2 linked regions of the Drosophila melanogaster genome follow. The protein of the gene in region 2 interacts with the protein of the main gene of each other region in a pairwise test. Each region holds a gene or a part of one and is shown on either strand. Other genes may lie near its edges. The genes, in order: CG13488 and CG9135.

Region 1 (3,774 bases), on a different chromosome or scaffold from region 2:
ACAAAACACTCGCCCAAGTCCAAGTCGTAAATGCACTCAGCACTTTGTCAGCTCTCAGACAGGAAATGCAGTTGCCATTTTTCTTTCATCCCAGCAAATCCCGTTCACCTCCTGCCTTTGGCCCCCGCCCGGAAAGTCGTTCTGCAACTGTCTACATTTTTCACTTGCCATCCATAAAAAGTATCAGTTTTAGTTTCAGTTTTAGTCCTCGCTTGGCTAAAAGTCTCGTATGTCTTTTGCCTGTCTGTTGGCTCTGTTGTTTTGCTGTCTCAATTTCGCCAACGCTTCCATATTCAGTTTCATAATTTTTACCCAAGTTTATCATCCTCTTTGCCAGGCATGACAAAGTTTTCATTGCCGTCGACACAGGGCCTGGAAAAAGTTTCCTCCAGCTGTGAAGTGCATTAAACAATGCCCTCATACATGATCCGAGTGATGAGGAAGGGGACGTGCTGTGCTAAAATTGCATTTATCGAGGGGGAGTAAGTGCAAGGACACAAAAGGATAATAGCTTCGATGCACTTTCTTACTGCCAGGCGTTGGTACATGTTCAATTTACAAATGCTATGAATACGTTTTCTTTTATAAAGAACATCCACTTTCTAGCCAAGGAACTGCTTAACATAGCAATAATAAATATTACTAAAATACATTCTTAATGCAAATTCAAACTTCGTTCTTATATTGCTTTCATTGATAATACCTCAAGGTCATGGCCGGTTATATTTAAACCACAAACATTCTCTTGCTCCACCCACCCATAAATAATGTTTATAACTCTTCTTATCACTAAACGGCATATCGTATTGCCTAACAATTCGTTCACCCGGGCCGCCGCACTCTAATCTCTGAAATTTCCCAGCCATTTGACGAATTCCCTCAGCTTCTCCAATCTTCGGGGTCCGCCACGAGTCAAGATTTTCCTCCACCTGCGCTCCACAGCCAAACGATCCTCCCTGTCTATGGACTCCAGGTGCTTCCTCAACTTCCGGTATATCAGCTTCTGAAGCTGGGATGTCCGGGTCTGAACCGTGCGCTTCCATCGATCGAATCCGTTGCGCTGCAAGCAAAGCGCAATCAACTGGGTCTCGATACTGGAAGTTCTCAGTGGATCTCCCGTGGTATCCGAATCTAGATAGTCCTCAATCACGCCATAGAAGGCATTTAGCTTCTGCTCCGTTTTATTCGCATTTACGGCAGTGAAGGCATCGAAGCGATCCAAGTAGCCCAACAGAATGGAGTTCTGCGAGTCCAAGACGATCAGATCTTCCACCACATAGTCCACCAGCTCGATTGCCTGGGAAACTAGCTGAGTGCTGATTGTTTGCAGAGCGTAATCTGATTGCAAATACAACCGATAGCGACTTCGATCTCCATAGGTATTGATCAAAGAAGGGGTCAGCTGGAATAATATGAAAGCATTTATATTCAAGCCATAGTTAGTATGAATTGAGTGTTATAAAATGTTAATTAACCAAGCTACACATGTTGGATGATTTATTGCTGTAAAGCTTTTGTTCTGATTTTAAATGTACAGTTGTATGTTTTAATTTAACGATGTTTCGTGTATATTCGATACCCACCACGAGTAGAAAACCTAGTAAATTCTGATAGCTCATGGCCGACTTGTTCCCTCGAAAGGCGTTCGTCTACTGAACATACTCTACTCAATACTCAATAAACTGGGAAACAGAGCAAGTCGTAGATAGTCTTATCTATCTGAAATTTCCATGTTGAAGGTTGGCGCTTGTCCAAAGGAAATAAATTATTTATAATTTCATAAAGATGACACATGACGTCATCAAGTCAATGACGTTTCGTAGGTGAAGAACCGGCAGATAAGTGATAGGAGGAGGTTTATTGGACTTAAATTTATGAATGGACGCCGCCGGGGGCCAGACAGTAGTTATCTGCATTTAACAATGATTTCGATTCAGGCAAGCGTCTGAAGAGTTTTAGCCACTGGCTCTTTATCTCTCACAGAGAGCAAATAACCCACCCAAAGCGGTGAGATATGTGCCCAAATCTAAATCGCTTAGCAACTGAAGATGGCCAGCGAGTGCGGCAGAAAAAGGCGAAAGCTTGACAGCGAAACTATTCATTGCGTATACGCTGCTTGGGCCGTAATAGCAGTGAAATAAAAGTCCACTTAGTCAGCAGTGTGACGGGCAGTGGAAGAGAAGGGGTAGGGAATGGGGGAAGAGGTTGAGGATGCGATATGGGGGGTCATTCATTGTGCTGGGGTCAGACCCTCAGGACAATCGCCTGTATCCGTGTGTGTGCCGTTGTGATAAATGCTTGAACTGGGTCAGTGGCGTACGATGATGAAACTCTGAGCGCCAAAATGGCAAATAAAACGCCGATTGTTCGTATCAGAGTTTCAAATGAAATCCTCTATCCCTGCCCCACAATAAATGCCTCGCATTTGGAGTTTTCGAGTGGCCGACAAATCCCCAATGCGCTGCGCTCAGCAACGAACTGCAATTTCAACTTTGATAAGCGAAGTTTAGTGCAAAAATCCAAAAAAAAAGGGAAATAAAAAAATCACCATCACCCCCGCCATATGACAATGTTATTAGCGTAGTTTTTGCGATTTCCAGGGATTTAAAGCGTTTTTATGTCCTTTTTTTTTTTGTGCGGCTAGCGTTGCGATGGTAACTTTTCAGTGCCGCATCCAAATCCTGATGGATGCGAAAGCGTTGAACCGGTCTAAACTTAATTGGGAATCTGTGCGAAAGGGTGAAGTCCCTGGGATTGTTCAGAATTCCGCAGCCAAAAAATCAAGGGAACATCATCAAGCCCGAAGACTGCTAAACAATTACGTCCTTTGGGGCTGAGAAATCCCAGCGCCTTTTATATGGCGAAACAATAACCGAGAACTTTGCCTCCGGCGAAACAGCCGCCTAACACAAGTGCTATAAATTGCCTCAACAACGCCTGCTGTTTCTCCGCCCAACCATTTCCCCTTTATCAACTCCCCAACCGTTGCATGCAAATTTCAATAACTTGTATTCGGTAACCCTTCCAACAACTGACACTGAATATCAAATATGAGTTGGGGCCAAAAATTATTTGCATACTTTCGGGGATGCTTTGCAGCACTCCAAAAAACAAGAAGAGCGAAACAAAAATTGAGATAATATGCATAGTGCGTTCTGCCTAGGCTCAAAATACCCTTTCTTTTTTTATTGAATACTTTATGATCTATACCATACACCATTTGAAAATAAAAACTATTTTCTTTTGCTTAGCCATGCCAGAAAGAACTTAAAGCTGAGAGTAACACAAGTACCTTAATGGTTTTAAATTTTTTTTAAATTTAAAACTTATTCAACATAACTAATTTCTATAGAGTATTCCAACCGAAGAGGAAGGAACCCACAGGAAGTACAACCAGACTCGCACATGTGGCGCGCTTTGGTTTCGGTGGGGGGATGAAAGCCCTAAACAGGAGCAAAAAAGGATACAGAAGCGAAAAAAGAGGAATCGCTACATGCCTTTGTAAGGGGGTGTAAACAGCAGAAGCAATCCTTTTTTTTTCGTTACACCGAAACGAGTTATTTATTGCATTTGCAAATTTTACACAACATTTTGCAGTTACCTCAGTGCCGTAAAATCCGGTGCTCTCTCCACTTTTCCACCGCAAAAGGTGGAGCCGAAGTTTATCGCGGTAAAAATTGATTCAGTTTGTACACAAATTTGCATGTGTATCGCGGTAGCAGACTCCTCCTCGGGCTTTGTGTAATGCGAAGCTGCAAGTTCAATGAAGCCAAA
Region 2 (5,579 bases):
CCGCCTTTTCAATATATTTAATTTAGCAAATATGTATTTCGTGTGCAGAATGAATCGCCGTACACTTGTAAAAAACGCTTTAAAAACTCCTCGAACTATTTTGTTGATATTGTCAAATGTGCGCGTGTGTGTGTGTGTCTGTGTGCGAGTGTGCGGTCGGTGTTTGTATGTATGAGTGTCGGGTGGGGTGGGGGCGAAAAAAAGGTAAAATGAAACTCAAGGCGCGACGTGCAGGGATTGTTCCTCAGCGGCGCACATTACTCGACAGGACCACGGCGGAAGACTGTGTCAGGGAAAAATCCGCCGGAGCTCCGGCCGCAAAGTCGCACTCCGAAGTCAAGAGTCCTCGCGCGCGAGAGAGCAGAGAGACTCGGCGAGAGAGTGAGAGAGAGAGCTTTGCGCCGGAGCTTTCCGCACTCTGACTTTCGCTTTCAATCGGCAGGACATCAGGACTGAGGACTCAAGGCTGGGACTGGGACTGGGCCTGGGAACTCAGTCGGCACAGGTCAGAAATCGGGGTATACCGCCAAACATCCCTTGGCGGACTGACCTACAGCTACCCCAGTGCGGCTAATCCTTGATTCCAATTTGTTCTTAGATTCGCCGCTCTACAGTCAAACCTCCATAAAGTTTCCTGCTCGATAGGAAATATGTGTGCCAGCTATAAGTAGCTTTAATGTTTACCATTCAGTGAAAAGCCAGTGATAAACGAGTGCAGTCTAAATACTAACATTCTCTTTATTTAAATATTCCTTTGTATAAGATTAAAATGCATGATGTACTATTAATAGTTGCAACTGGTATTGGATTTTTCCATGGTATACTTTTTATATGTAACCTATGCGCTTAGTTCGTTAATTTACGTGTTTTGTAGTTTTGTGGTTGCTTTTGCTCACTCTGTTCGAAATGAATGCAGAATACTGTAACTTGTTACGTTTAAATTACAAATTAAAAATTAAAAATGGGTAATCATGCTTTTTATGCATCTTTTTAAGCCTAAAGGTGGGCGGCAATAAATTATAAAAGGGGAACAGGATCAGGATGGAATAGTATCAGTTACAAGAATAAATTAGAGTTTGGAAACATAATCAACTTTTTTTTTCCGTTTTCTGAGATTATCGTATAGTATGTAGATAGCGAGTTTAGCGTAATAATAATCTTTTAACTTATAGCATACATTTTGCTGGATTTTTGTGTTTAGTTTCACTTTCGATAAGTAGCAGCAGAGTTTCGATGATCAGTTCTGAGAATTTCCTACATGGAGCAGTATTGTTGTTGGCAGCGGTAAACGTGTTTGCAGCAGCACTTGGAAAGCCGCACACCATCTAATCACCTAATCATCGATAGTGTACTCGGGCATCTTCTCGTACTTTTGCTTGGTGGCCTCATGGGTGGTGTCCACAAGCAACACCGTGTGCGAGTAACCCATAGTCACTTGAGGTATTTTAATGTTGTCCAACTTTGGCACCTCCTTGGGCACCGTCGACGACTTCTGGAACTCCCCAATGCCCAGCTCGCCAAACGTGGGCGATGCGCCCCAAGCGATCAGTGTGTCGTCGGCCGAAATCATAATCGATGTATTGGCACAGCCAATGTCGGTAATGTTCCAGCCGGAAAGATCCTGCACTGGCTTGGGGTACATATTTGCCTCGCCCGTCTTCTTATTCTGTCCGAACAAAAACAGCAGGCCCAGCTCGTTGACGATCAGACTGAAAGTGGAGCCGCAAAAGACGCTGCGCCCACCCCGACCCTGAGTATCGAAAAACTTCATTAAACGCGGCACCATTTCGTCCTTGGGCTCTGCGTGTCCGAGACGCCCGAAACCGCCAAAGCCCCAGCTATAAACGCGCTTCTTGGAGTCGATGGCGACCTGAAGAGAAAAATGTAGTTTAGACTTGAAATAAGTGGGGAATGGAGATTATCCACATACCGTGTGATTATTGCCGCAAGCAAAGTCAACTATCTGCACGCCATCGACTGGCGTTACATGACCCTCCTTGCTCTTCTCTATGTACAAAACGACCTTTTTGGGCGACGTCTCGAAATGGAATGACAATTTGTTGGCGTTGACAAAGTACTTGGCGTCAGTATTGTGTCCCAACTGACCGTACTCCGGCAGCCCAAATGTGTGCAGGCTACCTTTAATGTCCAGAATAACAGAGAACTCAGCTCCGCAACCGATGCGAATGATCGGCGGACCTCGGTAGTTAATTGGCGTGGGCGAATAAATGTTAGCATGCGTATTTCCCACACCGCACTGGCCGGACTTGTTTTCGCCGCAGGCGTATACGGTTCCCGTGTCAGTGAGAAACAGAGTGTGGTGCCGGCCGACAGCAGCTTGCACTATGTTCAGCTGTTCGAGGGCCGGAATAATGGTGGGCTTCTCCGCCAACTTGATGTCTTGGCTGAGGCCCAGCTGGCCGCTGGGATTACGCCCGAAACCGAGCGCCTTGCGGTCCATGTTGATAAGAATGGTGTGTGCGGCACTGGGTCCGCTGGCCACATATCGGTACTGCGAAAGAAAAGAACTCAGAAATCAAGTGGACCACGACTGTGCGGAATAGCTTACCTTCTCTTCTGTGAACCGATGGAAGCTGTACAGATTCGGCCGCACCTTCGTGACGTTCTTGCGGTCCCGCTTGCCAGTCAGGTCCCAGGTCACCATGCCGGCGATCAGCATCTGACCTGGAGTCTTCTCTAGCGTGGCCAGCAAGTCCTCGGGAAGCTTGCTAGGCGGGTCGAGGTCGTCGTGGGGAATGAGAACCTCCATCTGGTTGGCGGCCGCTGCCTGCTGCTGCACGCCATCGTCGTCGGACTCGTCGCTGAACTCGTCCTCGTAGTCCGACTCCTTCTTTTTGGGTCGCCGCTTGTTGGGTCCGGCTCCATTGCCACCTGCCTTTCGCTTGGCCGACATTTTCTCGCTAGTACTGGGTTGTATTGTGGACTGGACTGGTCTGGATCTCTCTGCTCGGCGGCTGGAAGGGAGCAATGTAGAAGATAAGTTCAAGCCCTGAAAACCGGAACCAAACTTCACACGCAGCAGAGCGTAGCGCGCACTGTGTTTATGTTTTAATCTTCATGAACTGCTGAATACGTGAAATCGAAGTAGGAAGGGTCGTAATATTAAATTTAAAAACACGTTACGTTTTTACGTTATGTATTTCTATATTTGGAAATAGTGTTTCAAAATATCAACTAAACATAATTTTCAAAACGGTAATTCCGGTTTTCATGAGCTCAGCTTCGCATAAACGGTCCAAAACCAAGCCGCTCTCGGCCGCTTGGTGGTGTGTGTTTGCTGTGCTCGCGTCTGTGTGACCCTGTGTTTGTGTGGTGGTTTTTGCACAGAAACAAAATGAAAGCCGCAGCAAGCGACGCCAACAGATATAGTGAATATTCCTAGCCTTTGATAAATGAGTTCTTGATACCCGAAAAACTACGCATTGTGTTCATAGTTTTGGCTTTCAAACTAAAAAAGTCCATGCCGAAGTTACAGAAAAGACAATGCCCGGCGCAAAATTCACCTTTAAAATGGTAGCGTCACTTTACAAACACAGAGACATTTCACGGCTTCAACGAATCAAATAAGTTTGCTGACTTCTTGCAGTCTTTTAACCATTTCGGGTTGTGTTCTTTTACTCAAATATATTTATCTAGCGGGTGAACTTACAGTTCTGTGTGCGGCTTAATTACTTTTCACAGCTAAATTACAAACAACAACGCTAGGTTACAGAGCTGGAACATGTATCGATGGCTGCTCGCGATTATCGATGTTTCCACAAAGCAACCAACGTCGATGTTTTTGTTTTCTTAGCAGTTATCGATTATTTTCGCCGTTCACACTGGGTTTTGTGTCTATCGAATTTTTAAAAAATATTATGTTCTAAATAACAATTAATATGTGGTCTATTCATTTGGACAAAAAAAGTTTTGTTCTTTCATATGTAGAACTTTGTCATCCAAAAATTAGGTTTCTTTAAGTTATCCATTTGAGTAATCCCAACATTATGTTTAACTTTAAAACCAACTTAGTCCTTCAATTCTAACAAATAACCTAAAAAACCCAATTATTAGTATGCCCACATAACTGAGTGCGCCATGATCGCCGAAATTTGTTATATCTAAAGTTTTGTTTATTGAAACAAACATGTATGGAAATTAAGCATAGTTCATTTGAAACGTATTTGATTTAGCACAAAACGGGTAATACATTGGCTTTTTGTCGGAGCAGCCCACTCCTACATCACAACTGGATGAGCGGCTGACCCTGGCGCTCGCGGTAAGCGGACACATCCGGCATCAGTTCCCTGCGAAAGCGCTCGTGGTTGCGTGCGAACTCCTCCAGTGCTTTGACCTGGCGACGCTGGCGCTCAGCACCGTTGACGGTGCTGTGATTATTGTTGGCCGCTCCCGGATCCCGGACATCGGGATAGAAGACGCTGTTCGCGATGGCAGGAGCGGGCGTGGGACGGCGCTGGGCCCTGGGCGTTCCGCTGGGGCTTCCGTTTCCGTTTGCGTCTGCAAGTAGAAAGTGCCTGTAGCCTGGCTTTGGGAATATGCAACAGATTTTGCAGAGAATGTCGCTTAGTGGCATTCCGCTGACTAAATTAGATCGGCTCTGGGTAAATGGCAACGATAAGCTGGCAATCGAAGTTCGGATTATACTGAGAGCACTCTGCTCTTATCTCTAGCTTCTACTAACGGTAGACTCACATTGTATTGGGACAAACAAACAGCTGGCTTTGGGGCCGAAAAATGCCGTATGATTGTATTTAGGCAAAGTTGTAGTTCTGCGGTTATCTATTGGCCAAGTTTCCCACTTAAAATTAGCTTTTAAAACTCAAAGCCCCGAACATGGTGATTCATTTCGTCTTTCAATTTGGTCACTTCCGTTCAGTTAATTTTTGCATTACTATACCCACAGCATTGTACATCCATTTTAAGAGTACGTGTTCATACCTTGCTTGCTCATTAGCTTCTCCTGCTGCAGGCGCGCGTTGCTCGATCCGAAGTATCCGTTGATAAATGGCAGGGGCGACATGACTACTCCGCCCCTCAGCGAACTGTCTGGTGGAGGAGGAGCGGGTCTGTTGAATGGATTTGTCCGCCTGGGCGGCGGTCTAGGCTTCGCACTCTCCGATGCATTTTGTGGTCCGTCCAAGGCGCTGCCGAGCATCTCTGTAGGTTAAAGAACGCAGCGGATTAGTGCACAGGGATTGTAGGATTAGCCATTGTGCAGTCTCACTGTTTCTTGCGTCCTCCATCTCTTGCAACTGGCGTTTTAGCTCGGCCAGGATGATGCGCTTATACTCGTAGCCGGCGCATGTTAGCGCCTTCATCCACGTCTCCATGCTGTCTTGGTTTTCGGCGGCGAGGATGTAGGTGCGATTGCCGTTGAAGGCGATCTCGAAGCAGTAGTTGTCCACCTCGTTAGACAGCTCAATGGTGCAGCCCTCGACAATGATGAGGCCCAAGGGCTCCTTGTCCAAGCGCGACTCGAAGTAGAAGAGCAGGTTGCCTTTCAGCACGAAGTAGCGTCGCTGGAAGGCCTTGTTGACCTCGCCCCGTTTGTTGAGGAA

The links.
Region 1: the proteins of CG9135 (region 2) and CG13488 interact in a two-hybrid assay, tested with the Drosophila melanogaster proteins (one large-scale study listed by BioGRID).

The regions. Positions count from the first base shown.
Region 1 is NT_033778.4:21,949,472-21,953,245, reverse strand, and holds CG13488 (uncharacterized protein), read right to left. Parts: upstream 1,655-3,774; 5' UTR 1,620-1,654; coding exon 1,476-1,619; intron 1,403-1,475; coding exon 842-1,402; 3' UTR 684-841; downstream 1-683.
Region 2 is NT_033779.5:6,049,013-6,054,591, reverse strand, and holds CG9135 (uncharacterized protein), read right to left. Parts: upstream 3,754-5,579; 5' UTR 3,671-3,753; exon of another isoform or gene 3,525-3,670; intron 2,976-3,524; 5' UTR 2,915-2,975; coding exon 2,570-2,914; intron 2,513-2,569; coding exon 1,931-2,512; intron 1,871-1,930; coding exon 1,334-1,870; 3' UTR 715-1,333; downstream 1-714. Other genes in the region: IPIP (inositol phosphatase interacting protein), read right to left, coding at 4,244-4,518, 4,960-5,178, 5,246-5,579.